4 linked regions of the Macaca fascicularis genome follow. The protein of the gene in region 4 purifies or fractionates together with the protein of the main gene of each other region. This does not show direct contact. Links are inferred from orthologs where the notes say so. Each region holds a gene or a part of one and is shown on either strand. Other genes may lie near its edges.

Region 1 (4,242 bases), on a different chromosome or scaffold from region 4:
TATCACATACCCAAGACTGCCTAATTTTAATGGCAGAAAAACATCCTCTTCCCTGTAGTACCCAACTATCCATCATCAAGATGACAAACTACACAACGAGCCATGGCAGTGCCAAGGCCCTCACCTGTCAGCTGACAAACCACCCCTCACCCTCAATCACAGGCAGACAGAGGGGACTGGTAACAGAATTTATTCAAATGTGCCTTAATATAGGCGCTGGGGCTTGCCCATGGTGCTCTTGATATATAAGGCCCGGACATTCTGCCAGTTTTTCTTGAGCAATGACACCAAGAAGTTGACAGCCAGGTGAATGTTATACACAAGCTCATCGTCTGTCATCTTCACGTGACCAACCGCTACAGCCAGACATAACACCTGGGAGGACAGAAGAGAGGATCAAGTCAGGTTGGTGGAGGAATGGCAAATGGCCTGTCCCTCCCTCACTGGCCTAGTGAACAGGTACTTGGACCCGGGCCAAGGAAGGACCAGGGTTACTCCAAAAATTTCAATCCTGGTGGGCGCTCTCACTGGCATATTTAGAGACTTGGGTAAGATTTAGACCCCGCCAACACCTTCACCCACAGCAACCCACCAGACCCCCTCACCTTCTTCATTTGGAACTTGATTGTGGACTTCACTTCATCCACTTTGGCCACCATGTTTTCGTTGTGTGTGAGCAGGGAAGGGAACTTTCCTGCCTTATTTAGGCCTGGGCCGAGGATTCGTGGAATCTGCTTGATCAGAGACTCTGAGGCCAAAAACGCATCATACTTCTTGGCTGGTAAAGACAGGAAGCCATTGGCATTGCTTAGGACCTGGTCACCAAGGCACACCTCAAATGTGGCTGGCCAGAAACGCACTTGTATCAACCACGTGACATCCAAGCAGCACCCTTCTCTACCCCCGCCTCAGTCTTTTCCCCCGCCTAAAAGGTTTCCAGAAAGTCCTCTGGACCTTCACTGGTCCCAAAACATGCTCTCAGAAAATCAGGCTGACCCATGATCCATGGCATAACCGCTGTACAACGGATGCCCCAGTCAAGACTGCCAGGGCTCAGGCCGGGTGCGGTGGCTCACGCCTGTAATCCCAGCACTTTGGGTGGATCACGAGGTCAGAAGATTGAGACCATCCTGGCTAACACGGTGAAACCCCGTCTCTACTAAAACTACAAAAAAAAAAAAAAAAAAAAAAATTAGCCGGGCGTGGTGGCGGGCGCCTGTAGTCCCAGCTACTCGGGAGGCTGAGGAGGAAGAGAATGGTGTGAACCCGGGAGGCGGAGCTTGCAGTGAGCCGAGATCGCACCACTGCACTCCAGCCCGTCTCAAAAAATAACTAAAAAAAAAGACTGCCTTGGCTTGAATTGTGCCTATTTCTTAGCGGTGGACCCTGGACACGTGACAACTGGCAATGTCTGCTTCCTACCTGTAAAAGCAATCTAATGCCACTGCCTAAACAACGCAGAGTAAGATTTCCAAATCATACCTCACCAGCACCTGGCTGGGTCAACTTACAATACTTGGCCTTCCTCATCAACTGGAATCCTCATAGCAAATACAAACATCAAACCACCCCAAAGCTAAAACAGCACTCAGGCCAGCTAGGCAACCACCGCCGCATTTGCTAGTCTAGCCCCCTCATCACTAAAAATCGAAATGGCAGGAAAGCCTTTCTAGCGCCTCCACCCCACATCTCACATGCAAAACCACAGCGGCCGGACTCACCTAGTTTCTTGACCAGTTTTTTATTCTTGTTGAGTTTTTTCAGCGCCTCGATGTCCATGTGGGGGATATCCACGGCCTTGGCCTCGTCACAGTGCTGCTGGTCCCCCAGGACACACACAGAGAACTTGGGGCGGGGAGTGGACTTAAGCCTGCGTTTTGGGGGACAGCACCAACAGGTTATGCCTAGCCCTGGGTCCCGAGGGCCGGTGAAGGGTGTGGGACCGCAGCAGCCACCGAGCCTTACCCGGAGCGTTCACATTCACCAGCAGCCAGCCTGGCTTGTCAGGCTGGCCGGCGGGCTCGGCCAAGGCCTCCCCACGCCTCCCCTCATGTTTTAAGACCCAGGGTGGGGGTCCGTCCAGCCGCGCCTGCCCGGAGCAGGGGGTCTGAACTACCCTAACACATCAGTACCGACGTGCCCGCCTCCGGCTCAGCGGGAGCCTGCAGGGGAGGGGCAGGCACGGGGGCACTGAGGGCTGGGTGGGGTCAGAACGGTGCCAACCTGACGGTGCCCGAGAAGCGCTTGTCCTTCTGGGGGTCATAGTTCTTCAAGCTGATCTGCAACTCCACCGTCTCCAGGAACCTTCGAGAGAGGAGGGGGATTAAGCGTTAAGCACACGCCGGCCCTCACCACCCGCGCCCTGCCCCAGGATCGGCACTCACTTGCGGCGCTTGCGCTGGTTCCCGTGCAGGACTTCCCGCACCGCCTCGTACAGGGTGTCGCGAGAGACTTTGCTGCTGCGTGAGAGAAGCGACAGCGCGCTCAGGGCCGCGGAGTCCACACGCTCAGACTGCTCAGAAGCCTCCGAGGCTCCAAGCTTCGAGACGGGCGGGCGGCCCACGGCGGACTCCCCAGTAGATTCCGGACACCAAGTAGAGCGACGGGAGCCCAGACCCAGACCCAAACCCCGGTGGAAGAGGGAGCCTCTCGGTGATCGGACCTGGTAGGAAGGGCGACCCGCAGGCCGACCCGCCTTGAGAAATGCCCCGCGGCGAAGGTGGCGCAAGGGCCCGCAGTTCGGTCTGCAGGAGCCGCATCCTTGGCGGGGCACCTGGAGGCGCGGATGAACGCAGATAGGGCTTTCAGGACCACTTACCTCATGGCTTCTCACGCCGCGCTAACCGGAAAAGAGACTAGTACAGTTTGCGCATGCGCTCTAATAGTGGCCCGATCTCGCGAGAATGCGTCGTTACTCGGTCCTACCCACACAGAGGTTGGGTGGGCCAACCCCGAGAAGCGCGGACTTCTCCGGCCGCTGGTGGAGTCGCTGGGCCGCTAGGCCGGCGCGGGAACCCACGGAGTTGTCGCAGCCCTGAGCGCCCCGCGGCCGCCGGTAATGTGCCGATTCGCGCCCGCTGTTGCTGGGCCCCTAGGGAAGCAGCTGCGTTCGGGGCTCGAGCTTCGGTAGGCACACATACTGGTACAGCCCAGTGATGTTCACTGACAGCGTGGATTCCGACATGCTTGTCCCTCAAACCCCTTTCCCCTCGCGCCCTCCGCATCAGCTTATGTTCTCAAAAGCAAGCCTTGTTCCTCGGCCAGACCTCCCTCCCTCAGCACCTTGCTCTAACGTGGACTCGTGGTAAGGGAAGCTTCCGGAAAGTTCTGTTCCTGGCCTCTCAGCGCCTGCAGAGGGAAGAGCTGGCAAAGTCCTAAAGTGAACTTTTACTTGATAATTTGATAACATCTACGTTTTAAGTGTGACTAGTATGAATAAGGCGTCTAGCCAGGTGCTACAGGAATACAAAGATGTAAAACAGGCACACAGCACAGCACACCCATTAAGGTGTCTTCTCTGCTCTTTCCTCTGTACAGTGGGTCTCATCCTCTTAGCCCACTGTAACCCGAAGAGCCCTTCAGATCTCTCCTAGGGTTCATCTGCCCAAAACCCTTCCCTAACTCCAGACTGAGTCACTCCCACCTTTATGTTCATTCCCACCTATCCCCCTGCCTGGTGGGGGCAGCTCCTGTAGGATAGGGTGAGTGGTATTACACATTATTTGGCCCTTAGAAAGTGAGTAAGATACCCTTCACCCTTCCCCTCACCAGGAAAAATATGTTCCTTGTCACTGAGCAGGGAGGTGGAGGGGGTGGGGATGGGTTCAATACCCAGAATTCACAGGAAGGAAAGTACTGCTTCTAATAAGACATTAGTCAGGCGTGCTGGCTCACGCCTGTAATCCCAGCACTTTGGGAGGCAGGCGGATCACCTGAAGTCAAGAGTTTGAGACCAGCCTGGCCAATGTGGTGAAACCCCGTCTCTACTAAAAATACAAAAATGAGCAGGGTATGGTGGCAGGAGCTTGCAATCGCAGCTACTCAGGAGGCCAAGGCAGGAGAATCGCTTGAACTGGGGAGGTGGAGGTTGCAGTGAGCCGAGGTCACGCCACTGCACTCCAGCCTGGTGACAGAGTGAGACTCTGCCTCAAAAAAAAAAAAAAAGAAAAAGACATTATTGAACTTGCTTTTTATTCAATACCATTGATAAATTCAAGTCAGAAACAAAAGCACAGAAGGTCA
Region 2 (4,086 bases), on a different chromosome or scaffold from region 4:
CTTTGCTCCGCGACCTGGAACTGGACAAGGAAAGACCGATTCTCTCAATACTTTGTAAGAACATACACGTACTCCATAAACAAGTACAGTAATATTCACAATGACTCAACACAACATTATTTACCGGGAGCGACTTTTTGAGATACTTCGAGATCTACTGCGGCTGCTCCTGCGACTCCTACTTCGTGACCGTCTTCTAGATCGAGACCTATTAGGAGAAAAACAATGAAGTCTTAATCTCAATCCATCTTAAATACACCTGTGCCATCTGGCAAAAATAGATAAGCCAAAGAATAATGTTTTTCTTTACTACGAAATTAAATACACCTTCAAAACATCCAGAAAAAAACCCAATGATGCACAGCCAAAACAAACTAAAAGCTGGCTTTAATTCAAGTAGGCAACAATTGAAATTACTCCATTACTTCCCTTTTTTATTGTCAAATATTCTGTTTCCTCCCCACAGTGTCCTTCAACAAGTTACCTGGATCTGCTTCCAGAGTAAGATCGCCTATGGCTTGTGCGTGGCTTATCTTCAATAAGCCTAATATTTCTGCCATTTATTTCTGTGCCATCCAGTTTGTCCAAAGCACGCTTCATGTCAGAGTAGGAGCGAAACTCAATTACACCCTCATTTGTTCGTTCCTTGTGGGCATCCGCATAGGTTACTTCACCTGCTTGTCGCATAAAATCCTGAAATGATAAGATTGGTCAGACTCGGAAATCTTAAAAGATCTATATACTATAATAAATTCCCAGAAATAAGAATGTAAATAAGAGTTTACTTTAAAGCATTAGTCGTATCCTTTGTATCTTGAATTATAGCACATACCTTTAAATCTTGCCAACTGCACCGACTAGAAAGATTTTCTACAATAAGCCTGTATTCTGTACGAACAGGTGGTCCGTATTTGTCTCTGCCAGATGTTCTCCGACTGCTGTATCCACCTCCACCACCTTTATCACATGAAGGGAACAATTAGATGCCTTGTAATGATAAAAACGCATAATGTCTTTGAAAGTTAGTACAAACATATCAACTTTTATTTACTGGAGTAGGACTTTGCTATTATATTGCTAAACCTTCGACACATTTGTGATTTGCCATAAAATTAAATTAAGGGCAAGTCAAATAGACTAAATCCAACTAAACCTCTCCTACAATCTGTTAGAGAGTGACTGCTCCTTTATTCGATTTACCTCGCTAAGTTTTATTTTACAGAACATTGTAAAATATAAAACTTAACTGATTACATGCATTTCTACATTTTACAAAAATGTTTACTAGTTTTACACTAAGTACTTACATCACAGTGTGAGGTTTTTGGTGGTGGTTTGGCCACAAAACACGCAAGGTAACAGTCACCTAGTTCAGATTAACCAGTTTTGTCTAACCCTTGGAATCCTCACCATCACCCTGCGTCTAATGGCAAAAGGCTGCTGTCGTCATGGCTTCCGGTAAGGTCAGCCAAAGGGTCATAGGGCAAGGGTCACACAATGTATGGAAAAGCCAAGGCCAATCAGGAAAGGCAGTCATCTTAGCCTCAGTGGACACAGCCTCAGCCCCATTGGTCACTTTCAAATTGAAACATCAAGGACTTGTTAAAAAGTTTGAATTCAACATGCAACAATTTAAACATCAAACATTTAACATAACCAAAAATCCCCCCAACCTCCTCCCAGTAACATGCCCCAGTTAGTTCAAATACAGCATAAAGCTTATTTAGATCTACTTTGTGGTACAATACCACATTACTTAAAAATAGTACATTCTTCGGCCCCCATCAAGTTCCATAACTTTAAGACCTATACTTTAAGCTCCTCCCTTCCCTGTCCCCCGCCCCCCTACCCCACCTCCACCCCAGCCTGCCCCCGAACCTCTAACTAATGCACTGATAGGTAAGTAAGGAGAATACAACAAATACAGCCACTCCTTACTTCCTCTGTGGTTAGAACCTGTGACAGTGCTGACAAGGGGCCAGAAGAAGCCACCCCCCGCCCAACTTCGCAAATAAAACCAAACACCCAAACCCAATCCCCGCGCTCCGGCGTCCCATGGCTGCCCCGGGCAGACATGAAGGCAGCGGGGCTCGGGGACACCCGAGTCAAACGACCCCCAGCCCTCGCGCCTGCCCGGGCTGGGAGGCCCCAACCCACCCACCCCCGCCCGCCCCCAGGGTCCCCAAGGGCGCGGAGCGCGCGGGGGTGGGACTCACTGCGGCTTCCGTAGCTGTAGCCGTCGCGATCGCGACGCGGGCCCCTGGCGTGCTCTACGATCACGCGCTCGCCGCAGAGCTCCTTGCCGTTCAGCTCGTAAACGGCGTCGTCGGCGTCGCGGGAGTCCTCGAACTCCACGAAGCCGTACCTGGGGGCGGTGCCAGGGCCGGACAACGGCGGGGGCGTCGTTAGCCAGGGCGCGCCCGTGCGCGTGCCCGCACCCCTCAGCGCGCCCCCGCGACGCCGCGCCGTCGCCATCTTGGAGGCCCTGCCACGCGGCGCCGCGGCCTTGGCCGCCTTTTTCCTTGGAGAGTTCCCGCCGCCACCAGGCCTGGGACGCTGGGGGCAGGCGCCCAGGCTCGACTCACCCATTTTTGAGGTCTACTTCGAGGAGGCGGCCATAGCCACTGAAAAAGCGCTGGATGTCCTTCTCCCGGACGTTGTAGCTCAGGCGTCCTATGTAGACGCGCGGCATGTCCGTGGCGGGCGGGGGCCCAAGGGCTGGTTGTCAAACGGCGGACCGCAAGCCAGTAGCCGCGGTGCAGGTGCGGGGACGGCAAGAGCCCGAACACGCGCCTCACACCACAGCGGCGGCCGAGTCCAGCCACACAATGATGCGCGCGCGCGCCAGGCTTACGCTATATGGGCGGCCAGTGGGGCGGGGCCTGGCGCGTGACGTCAGCGCGCAGCGGCACGTCCGTCCCCAGTCGGCCCTGGGCTAAATGGTGACTGGCGAGTCAGCTGCCCGCGACGTTTCGGTGTAGTGCGGTCTTGCTCGCTTCTAGGATTTTTCTCCAGCCCTCCCCACCGTCTTTGAAAACACAGTGTCTCTAATGCAGCCGCAGAATTGTTTTCTAATTTGTACCTTTTATAAAACTGCGCGATCGATCTCTTTGGGGTTGAAGCTCGGGAGGCGGGCTGAGAGAATCCCCGTTTTTCATTGGTTCTCGAGGTGGTTATAATGGGTCGCCGCGGTCTCTGATTGACGGCTTAAAACGAGGCTGCCTGTTTCCCCCAGCGATTGGTTGGTGCTCGTTTTGGTGGGGACCGCGCTCTCGGACCCAGTCGCTGGTCCGGTTTCGCAGAATCCGAGGATCACGCGCTGAGGTCTTGCTGACCTGGCGGGGGTCGCGTTGCGAACTTGCAGAGCCGCCATCAGCTTCTCCAAGTCTCACTCGCAGCCTTCTTCAGTCTTGGCCTCCCCGGACGTTCCCCTCTCCCTCCATGGGTCTTTCTTGGAGCCCTGTCAACTTGACTCACTTGTGGATTGGGGTGTCCGTGGGAATCCTACGCTCACTGTAGGTGCTCAAAAGGGAGCGCGGAGGAGACCCCGCAGCCCTCCTACAGCGATGAACAATTTTTTTTCTCCCGTATATAGAAAGTCCTTTGTCCCAATACTATCATTTCTTCCATTGACTTGAAAGTGCCTTATTTTGTGAGTTTATCAAGGGAGATGCTATTTAAAGCTGGAGAACCAGATGAAAACCTGTGGTTTAAGTTTAGGTGGGGAGCAGAAGACCCAGGCCAACGCCTGGGGTACTCTGAAATTTAAGTACAGGAAAGGAGACTGACGGGAAGGAGTGACTAGCGAGGTAGGGAGAAGACCAGGAGAGTAGGGTGTCACCGAAGCGGAAAAAAAAAAAAAAAAAAGGGAAGGGATATCACTGAGATAACATCAGCTCTTTAGATATTTTTGTATACCTGCTCTGAGTGGTGCAACCTGAATATCCTTCAGCTCCCGGTTGAAAAAGGGGGGTTTTGTCCTCCTGGAGCTATTTGGAAGTCTGGAGGGAAACGTTGTTGTTGTCACGACTGGGGGAGGTAGAGGCCATGCTTAAAGTTAGATAAACAAAAAATACGAGTCTGTAA
Region 3 (4,328 bases), on a different chromosome or scaffold from region 4:
CCTGAAATTCAGGGTGTAGATCTGTTATCGCAAATTTATGACTGCAGGATTTGATTTTGTTGTTGTTTCCCCCTCCTTTTTTTTTTTTTTTTTTTTTTTAGGAGGAGTCTTACTCTGTAGCCCAGGCTGCAGCGCAATGGCGCGATCTCGGCTCACTGCAACCTCCACCTCCAGGGTTCTAGCGATTCTCCTGCCTCAGCCTCCCGAGTAGGCTGGATTACAGGCGCCCGCCACCAAGCCCGGCTAATTTTTTTTTTTTCAGTAGAGACGGGATTTCACCATGTTGGCCAGGCTGGTCTCGAACTCCTGACCTCAAGTGATCTGCCGCCTCTACCTCCCAAAGTGCTGGCGTGAGCCACCGCGCCCAGCCTGATTTTAATTTGAATTCATTAGCGACGTTTAAAAATCCCAGGATTTCACATAAAAATCCAGATTGCAGACGTCGAAAAAAAATGTAAAATGTTATCTCCCAATGTCGCAGGCAAATAAGATCACAGTCCTGAATAGCAACCGCGGTCTCTAGTGGATACGGCTCTCATCCATTTCGGTCCATTTTATTACCTGGGAGGACCGGTATTTTCAATTTCAGTAACTTTTAGAGGAAACTTTTGAAAAAAGGACTGCACACACGCACCTTTTCTTCCTTCTCGTTCTTTAAAAGGAAACAACAGAAACAATTCATTCTGCAGGCAATCTGCGCTAGTCCCACGGATAGGCGATTAACAAGAGATAAAGAGGTGTGGGTACCAGAAGCAGTACTGTTACCCCTTCTGGTTGGCGGGTACCACGTTGAAAGGTCGGGGTACGGGCCCACTGCGACTAGCACAAAGAGTGCTGAACTGAGCTATGCAAAGTTCTGACGAGAAGGTGGAATGGTTCTTAATGAAAAGGATTAAGGAATCTAAACCGGTTTCGCTAAATTAGACACATCTGTCTAAGCAGCCACAGCTTGTTCGCAGCAGGGGCGGGAAGACAAACCAACGCCCCAGCTCTCTATTCAGTCACCGGCAACTCAGCTCTGGACCAGACGCACTCTACGAAGATACCCGGGTTTCCGGAGCAACGGCCCGAGCCCTCCCCCTTTAGCCCCGCCTCCGAGTCTCTTTCCCGCCAAAGGCCGTTATCGCCGCAGAGCATGGTGGGACAAGGCTTTAGGCTAGGTTTCACCAAGTCCTTTGAAGGCGCCGAGTTGCTTTCAAAGCTCCTCATTCCTGGGGAAATTGACTATCCTTCAAGACTCGACCTGGATGACTAGCTCCTTTAACGAGAGTTCTTTATTTAACTTTTACCAAACGGCTGCTCACTCTATTCGCAAACCACCCCAAGCGGGGAACGCGGGGGACTTTTTTTCCCCCTTCGTGCGGAGGGTGACGTCGCGCGTGCGTGCGCGTGCGTTGCGCGTATCCCTCGCAGCACCCGTTGCGCTCCCGCGCGTGCGTGTTGGGATCGAATCGCTGTTTCCTTCCGCTTCTCTTCCTCTGTCTCCCCCCCATATCCGTGCGCCGAGCTGATAAAGGCGCCATTTTGGAGGGGCCGCGGGAGACGTGGTGCCGCTGCGGGCTCGCTCTGCGGTGCGCTAGGCTTGGTGGGAAGGCCTGTTCTCGAGTCCGCGCTTTTCGTCACCGCCATGTCGGGAGGTGGTGTGATTCGTGGCCCCGCAGGGAACAACGATTGCCGCATCTACGTGGGTAACTTACCTCCAGACATCCGAACCAAGGACATTGAGGACGTGTTCTACAAATACGGCGCTATCCGCGACATCGACCTCAAGAATCGCCGCGGGGGACCGCCCTTCGCCTTCGTTGAGTTCGAGGACCCGCGGTGAGGCGGCATGGGGCTTGCAGCCTTGAGGAAATAGGTCCGAGTAGTCGGGGAAGGCTCCAAGGCCTTAACATAGAGAACGGGGAAGCGGGGGCTCTTAGAGAGGTTGGGGCGAGACTGTATCGCCCATGCAGGAGTCGAGTAAGGAGCTGAGTTGGTGTGGCTTCTCTGGCGCCTCGCCTTGGACGTCCCCGGAGCCCATTCGCAGGCTGGAGCGGGAAACTGAGGCGCTGAGGGCTGGTGTAGTGGTTGGGAGCCTGGCGTGTTTCTGGGTGGGGGAGGGGCCATTCCTATTATGCGGCGCATGTGGGCTCTTCCACGTTGGGTGCGCATGTGCGGGGGGTTCCCGACTGAGCGAGCTTCTCCTCCTGGTCTTTCTCATGCCTTTTACTTTCTGCGATCCCGCAGAGACGCGGAAGACGCGGTGTATGGTCGCGACGGCTATGATTACGATGGGTACCGTCTGCGGGTGGAGTTTCCTCGAAGCGGCCGTGGAACAGGCCGAGGCGGCGGCGGGGGTGGAGGTGGCGGAGCTCCCCGAGGTCGCTATGGCCCCCCATCCAGGCGGTCTGAAAACAGAGTGGTTGTCTCTGGTGAGTGTACTTTGTTGTGTGGATTGATGTGAAGGGACGGAAGCTACCTAAAATTTTTGTCTTGCATGATCGGTTTAACAATTGCAAATTTTTCATGCTAGGTGTTAAATTGCTTTAGTTTTTGGGTGAATTTAATAAACGAGGATTGCTGCTGTGGTGATTTACCAAATTAGGTTGCGGTACTAGATACGAAGATCCGTTACAAATAATTTTGGACTCTGGATCCCAGAATCTTACCAGCTCTTTACCTGGTATCACTTAAGTACACCTATTAAGTATTTTAAAGTACTCTTTGTTCTAATGTATCTTACCAGCTTAACGTGAAATTTAAGATAATTGATACTAAGAAAAAAAATCACTTTTTCAGGACTGCCTCCAAGTGGAAGTTGGCAGGATTTAAAGGATCACATGCGTGAAGCAGGTGATGTATGTTATGCTGATGTTTACCGAGATGGCACTGGTGTCGTGGAGTTTGTACGGAAAGAAGATATGACCTATGCAGTTCGAAAACTGGATAACACTAAGTTTAGATCTCATGAGGTAGGTTATACGCTTATTCTTTTCTTTGACCAGAATTGGATACAGTGGTCTTAACAGTGGAATTTGAAGGTAAGAATTCAGGCAAGGGTGTCCAAGTAAATTGCCAGATTTCTGGTTGTAGTTGCATTGTATGCATTCAGCATGCCTGAAGATAGATGAAAGCTTAGATCTTTCAATGGAAAGTTCTGTCTATCCAATAGGGAGAAACTGCCTACATCCGGGTTAAAGTTGATGGGCCCAGAAGTCCAAGTTATGGAAGATCTCGATCTCGAAGCCGTAGTCGTAGCAGAAGCCGTAGCAGAAGCAACAGCAGGAGTCGCAGTTACTCCCCAAGGAGAAGCAGAGGATCACCACGCTATTCTCCCCGTCATAGCAGATCTCGCTCTCGTACATAAGATGATTGGTGACACTTTTTGTAGAACCCATGTTGTATACAGTTTTCCTTTATTCAGTACAATCTTTTCATTTTTTAATTCAAACTGTTTTGTTCAGAATGGGCTAAAGTGTTGAATTGCATTCTTGTAATATCCCCTTGCTCCTAACATCTACATTCCCCTCGTGTCTTCGATAAATTGTATTTTAAGTGATGTCATAGACAGGATTGTTTAAATTTAGTTAACTCCATACTCTTCAGACTGTGATATTGTGTAAATGTCTATTCTGCCCTGGTTTGTGTGAACTGGGATGTTGGGGGTGTTTGTGGTTATCTTACCTGGGGAAGTTCTTATGTTTATCTTGCTTTTCATGTGTCTTTCTGTAGACATATCTGAAGAGATGGATTAAGAATGCTTTGGATTAAGGATTGTGGAGCACATTTCAATCATTTTAGGATTGTCAAAAGGAGGATTGAGGAGGATCAGATCAATAATGGAGGCAATGGTATGACTCCAAGTGCTATTGTCACAGATGAAATTGGCAGTATTGACCTTATACTAAAAGGCAGGGGTTAAAAATGATTATATACGTTTTCCTTAAAACACTTGCAAACATTTTATTCAGTTATCTTTAGCTACAATTGCTTTGCTCTTTAAACCTTGGCAATTGTGGCAAAATTATATTGCCCATTTTGTAGCAACTTATTTTGCTCCCTTCCCCCCATTTTTGTTTTAATAGGGACTAATGTGGGAAGAACTGGCTAATTTGTCACAGTGCTTAGTTACAACTGTTAATGTGTGACCTGCTGTTGGTGTACATGTGGGTACAGGGTGTCTTTAAATCCAACAAGATAGAGTATAATATCAATACTGCTAAATCTGCATGTCCTCTGTGTGACTGATAGAGCGTTGCTATTTCATTTTTTTAAGACAAAATGAAAGCAAAATATAGAGTTCCAATGTATTGGTGTAGATAATCTAGTTGGGAATACTTTTAAGT
Region 4 (4,093 bases):
GGCGGAGACCGTGTGTTTTCTTGTCCCATTATCACTGTCCATGACGTTCACGCTGCAGAGTTATTTTTTGAAGGCCCAGTGTACTCCATGCCATGTGGTGGTGAACAAGACGTACAAGACAAGAAACTCTGGGTGTGACAGGCACTAACCAGACAGGACTCTGGAGCACTGGTGTAAACTGGTCTTAGGCCCCCCGCGTAACCTCAGCATCTGCAAATCCTGGGCTGGCTCACCAAAGGGTTTGAGCAAAAGGCTCTGTCTAGGCTGTTTTAGCACCATAAGTATTGCTTCTTGTCTTCTACTTTTGTATAGGCCAAGACCTTTCATGGCTGCATGTACTCCCACTTCTGGCTAAGAAAACAGATGGAAGCTTACACTGTTTTGGGAGTAGAATGGCACATTGATAATTAAGCAGCAATGTAGCTAAGTGCTGCAACAGAGACACAATGGATGTTTTAGACCCTGGAGGAGTAGGGCGAGATGCTAGGGGAGGCTTTTTGAAGGAAGTGATACTGAACTGAATGCTGGGAGTGAAGAAGGTGTGGGATTCTTTGCAGAGTGAACAGGAGAAGCAAAGGCAGAGAGGTGAGAAATTGTGTGCTATACACCAAGATCCATGACTGGTTCTATTGACAGAACATGAAGCAGTCACATGGGGCTTAGGGAGGAAGAGCACCTGAGGACAGATCATGACTTGCAGACACTGAATTTCAAAAAATATTGGTGATGTGGGATCAGATTTGTTTTAGGAAGATGACCCTGGGCTGGTCTGTGGAGGACAGATTCGGGGGGACACAAATGAAGTTAAGGAGACCAGTTAGGGAATATGCAGGTGCAGAAGTTTGGGTGAGATGCAAAGGGCCCACAGTCAGAGAATTTATTTCACCAGGAGGCGAAGGAGGGAGGACTGAGGGACACTGGATGTGGGCCAGGGGAAGAGGATGAGGAAGACAGAGGAGTCCAGGACAATCCCCTGCGTCCAGCTGGAATCCGAATGGCTGGTGGGAACTAGCAACCAAAAGAAGAGAAAACAGGTGGTAGAGGAGCAGCAGCAGACAACAGGCTTTCGGGGAAAGAAAATATGATGTTTTTTGGCATCCTGAGTGTGAGGTGCCAGGTAGAGAAGCCAGGCTAGCAAGGCACATCCCAGTTGCAAGTAGGAAAGGGCTGGGTCAACAATTTAGGTTTAGAAACCACCAGCATATATGGACTACCTGGAACTGTAAGAGTAAACAAAATCTCTTAGGGACATCCCTAACAGAATCAAAGTCAGGAATTTTGGTCTTCATTCCTTTTTCTACCAGACTTCCCAGGAAAGTTTATTTTCTTTTTTTGGGTAGTCTGGTGATTTTTCTTAAAACAAACTGAGAATGCCAGTAATGGGGGAGATAATATCTGTTCTTTTAAGCAGATTCTAAATGTATTAGTACCATCAGTAACTAAATCAAACTTTATCTTAAAACCTCTGTCACACATCGTAGTTCATATCGTATGGGCTCACTCAAGAGTTTACAGAAAATATTCTTGGATCAGGTAAATGAAATCATTCAACAGCAGTGCCGTTAAAATCTACACTACAAAGCCCTGTGTGATCTGGCCACTGCCTACAATCTCCAACTTCATCTCATCACACTCTCCCCGCCCACCCACAACTTAATTGGTCTTTCAAACCACTCCTAGGGCACGTGAAGCTCTTTCCTGCCTCTGCATAGGCGCTTTCCGCTCATCTCTCTTCAGATTTCAGCTGAACATCACCCGAGAGGCCTTCCCAGAACAGTCTATCAAGAAGAGCAACCTCCTTCACTTCTTGCTATTACCTGGTTTTCTTTCTTTCTCTCTTTCTTTCTTTTTTTGAGACGGAGTTTCGCTCTTGTTGCCCAGGTTGGAGTGCAATCGTGCGATCTCGGCTCACCGCAACGTCCGCCTCCCAGGTTCAAGCGATTCTCCTGCCTCAGCCTCTCGAGTACTGAGATTACAGGCATGCGCCACCATGCCCGGCTAATTTTGTATTTTTAGTAGAGCCGGGGTTTCACCATGTTGGATTGGCCAGGCTGGTCTCGAACTCCCGACCTCCGGTCATCCGCCCGCCTCGGCTTCCCAAAGTGCTGGGATTACATGCGTGAGACACCGCGCCCGGCCTACTACCTGGTTTTCATTTCCTTTACTACACTTACACAAGGTCTACTTTATTTGCCTGTTTGCCTCCTTGCTTTATTACTAACAAATCCTCGAGAGTAGTGCTTCTGTCTTCTCTCCTCCAGCCCCGGCACGTAAAGGTGCTGGTCAAAGAAAGGCGGCAATCACCGACCGGACACCAGGGCAAATGAGGGCAGCCCAGTGATTCGAGATGCCGGCTGGGGAATCGGACCCATTGGGTCTTTTCTCAGCTTTCCCGCTTACTGTGACTTTCACAAGTAACGGAACACCCTCAACCCGTTTCCTCAAGTGTAAAAAGGCACTAGACACAGCAAGAAGCGGTTCTGGCAGCGCGGAAACCTAAGCACACGCTGGGTGTCACGACAACACGTGGAAGCCGCGTTCCGTGCCAGGGCCCTGGCCCCAGCCCCGGCCCCCGGCCCGCCATGTGGCGCGGCTGACCGCCGCCGTGCGCCCACCTGTCTCCCTCTGCGTCTTCACGCTGATGTACTGGCGCAGCTTCTTCACCGCCCGGTCCCGAATGCCCTTCTCGCTGGACGCCAGCCGCTGGGCAAACTGGATCTCGGCCGGCTGCATGGCGGGGGCCATCGCGCCCGCTGGAGCATCCCCGGCCGCGCAACCCGCGGTGCAGATGCCGCCAGCCGAGCGCCGCGGAGCAGCCAGCCGCCGTCCGCCAGGGCCTCGACTGCACAGAAGTCGGCGACGGCGCGCGAGTTGATGGCGTCACAAAGGCGCCGCGGCTCGCAGCGCGCTCTGGGAGTGAGCGCGGCCGTGGCCCTGGCAGCGGGCGGAGCGGCCCATCTCTTGTGCGAGTGGCGCCGGCGCTGCCTTTCGGTTGCCAAAATTCAGGCTGTACACGGCGAGGTTAGCCAGGGTTAGGACTTGGCCAGGAAGAGACGGACGGCTGTTTGTAAACGGTCTAGGATTTTTTGTTTTTGAGACAGGGTCTCCCTCTGTCGCCCAGGCTGGAGTGCAGGGGCGCGATCTTGGCGGTGATCTTGGCTCACTGCAGCCTCGACCACCCAGACTCAAGCGATCCTCCCATGTCGACCACCCAAGTAGCTGAGACTACAGGCGCGCGCTATCACGCCCCACTACTTTTTATTTTTGTAGAGATGGGGTCTCGCTATGTTGTCCAGGCTGGTCTCAAACTCCTGGGCTTAAGCAATCCTCCCGCCTCGGCCTCCCTGAGCGCTGGGATTAAGGGATTGAACCACGGCGCCTGGCCACAGTCTAGGATCTTTAATCCCATTTAGCACACCCCGTTGAGCCAGCAGCTCACCTGCGATCTCCGTGGCACGGAGTTTTTAACTGTGGAGCCCCCGGGCCCCAGGGTGGAGTTGAGACTGGAAGGAAAGGCCGGCACTGGGGCCTGTTGAGCGGGTGAAGGGCTCACCTTCCGCCAGCGCCTGCAGAGGCTCGGGCAGGTCGGCGCGCCCCTTACTCTGGAGCCCTAGTGCCAGTGCTGGGGCACCCGCGCCGGCGTCCCGAAGCCTGGAGAGCACGCGCGCTTCCAGGGGAGTTGGGCAGGGCGGGCTGCTTGCTAACTCCAGAGAGGGAAGAAATCTTAGCTTTGGGTTCATCTAAAACCCAAGAACATCCTATATTTTGCGGACTCAGCGGGCGTGCCGGGGCAAGCTAATGGACTAGGTCACTCCACACGTAGCGGGGGTTATCTCAGTTGCTCCGCTCAGTTATGTGGGCGACCTCCCGAGGTGCCTGTTGACACAAAAATTCAACCCTTAACATAAAAGCGCCTGAATCCGAGCGAGGGAAGGCGAACCGCGGAGGCGAGGTTTCCAGCAAAGACTGCCAGTTTGAAACGGTCCCCCTTAGTGTAGCATTCCTCGCCAAACAGGAAAGGACTCTTCCGATTTATTTTACTTGACACTTACATCAGGGGCTGACTTTCCTTCTGCTTTGCAGATAACCCCGG

Evidence for each region.
Region 1: the proteins of RRP1B (region 4) and RPL10A purify together in Homo sapiens (affinity purification with mass spectrometry; 3 studies listed by BioGRID and IntAct, with this or other methods). This does not show direct contact. The link is inferred for Macaca fascicularis from reciprocal best matches to the Homo sapiens genes RRP1B and RPL10A.
Region 2: the proteins of RRP1B (region 4) and SRSF6 purify together in Homo sapiens (affinity purification with mass spectrometry; 3 studies listed by BioGRID and IntAct, with this or other methods). This does not show direct contact. The link is inferred for Macaca fascicularis from reciprocal best matches to the Homo sapiens genes RRP1B and SRSF6.
Region 3: the proteins of RRP1B (region 4) and SRSF1 purify together in Homo sapiens (co-immunoprecipitation; 3 studies listed by BioGRID and IntAct, with this or other methods). This does not show direct contact. The link is inferred for Macaca fascicularis from reciprocal best matches to the Homo sapiens genes RRP1B and SRSF1.

The regions. Positions count from the first base shown.
Region 1 is NC_088378.1:136,223,947-136,228,188, forward strand, and holds RPL10A (large ribosomal subunit protein uL1), read right to left. Parts: upstream 2,855-4,242; 5' UTR 2,824-2,854; coding exon 2,819-2,823; intron 2,460-2,818; coding exon 2,385-2,459; intron 2,305-2,384; coding exon 2,224-2,304; exon of another isoform or gene 1,966-2,223; intron 1,871-1,965; coding exon 1,722-1,870; intron 779-1,721; coding exon 606-778; intron 376-605; coding exon 205-375; 3' UTR 175-204; downstream 1-174.
Region 2 is NC_088384.1:99,544,534-99,548,619, reverse strand, and holds the start of SRSF6 (serine/arginine-rich splicing factor 6), read right to left. Parts: upstream 2,831-4,086; 5' UTR 2,693-2,830; coding exon 2,586-2,692; intron 2,366-2,585; coding exon 2,217-2,365; intron 1,872-2,216; exon of another isoform or gene 1,576-1,871; coding exon of another isoform or gene 1,424-1,575; exon of another isoform or gene 1,187-1,423; intron 958-1,186; coding exon 833-957; intron 694-832; coding exon 485-693; intron 209-484; coding exon 125-208; intron 21-124; coding exon 1-20. UniProt on the Homo sapiens protein: Plays a role in constitutive splicing and modulates the selection of alternative splice sites. Plays a role in the alternative splicing of MAPT/Tau exon 10. Binds to alternative exons of TNC pre-mRNA and promotes the expression of alternatively spliced TNC.
Region 3 is NC_088390.1:48,706,028-48,710,355, forward strand, and holds the start of SRSF1 (serine/arginine-rich splicing factor 1), read left to right. Parts: upstream 1-1,518; 5' UTR 1,519-1,627; coding exon 1,628-1,821; intron 1,822-2,229; coding exon 2,230-2,414; intron 2,415-2,781; coding exon 2,782-2,954; intron 2,955-3,154; coding exon 3,155-3,341; intron 3,342-3,714; coding exon 3,715-3,737; coding exon of another isoform or gene 3,738-3,753; 3' UTR 3,754-4,328. UniProt on the Homo sapiens protein: Plays a role in preventing exon skipping, ensuring the accuracy of splicing and regulating alternative splicing.
Region 4 is NC_088377.1:3,421,495-3,425,587, forward strand, and holds the start of RRP1B (ribosomal RNA processing protein 1 homolog B), read right to left. Parts: upstream 2,847-4,093; 5' UTR 2,746-2,846; coding exon 2,616-2,745; intron 1-2,615. UniProt on the Homo sapiens protein: Positively regulates DNA damage-induced apoptosis by acting as a transcriptional coactivator of proapoptotic target genes of the transcriptional activator E2F1.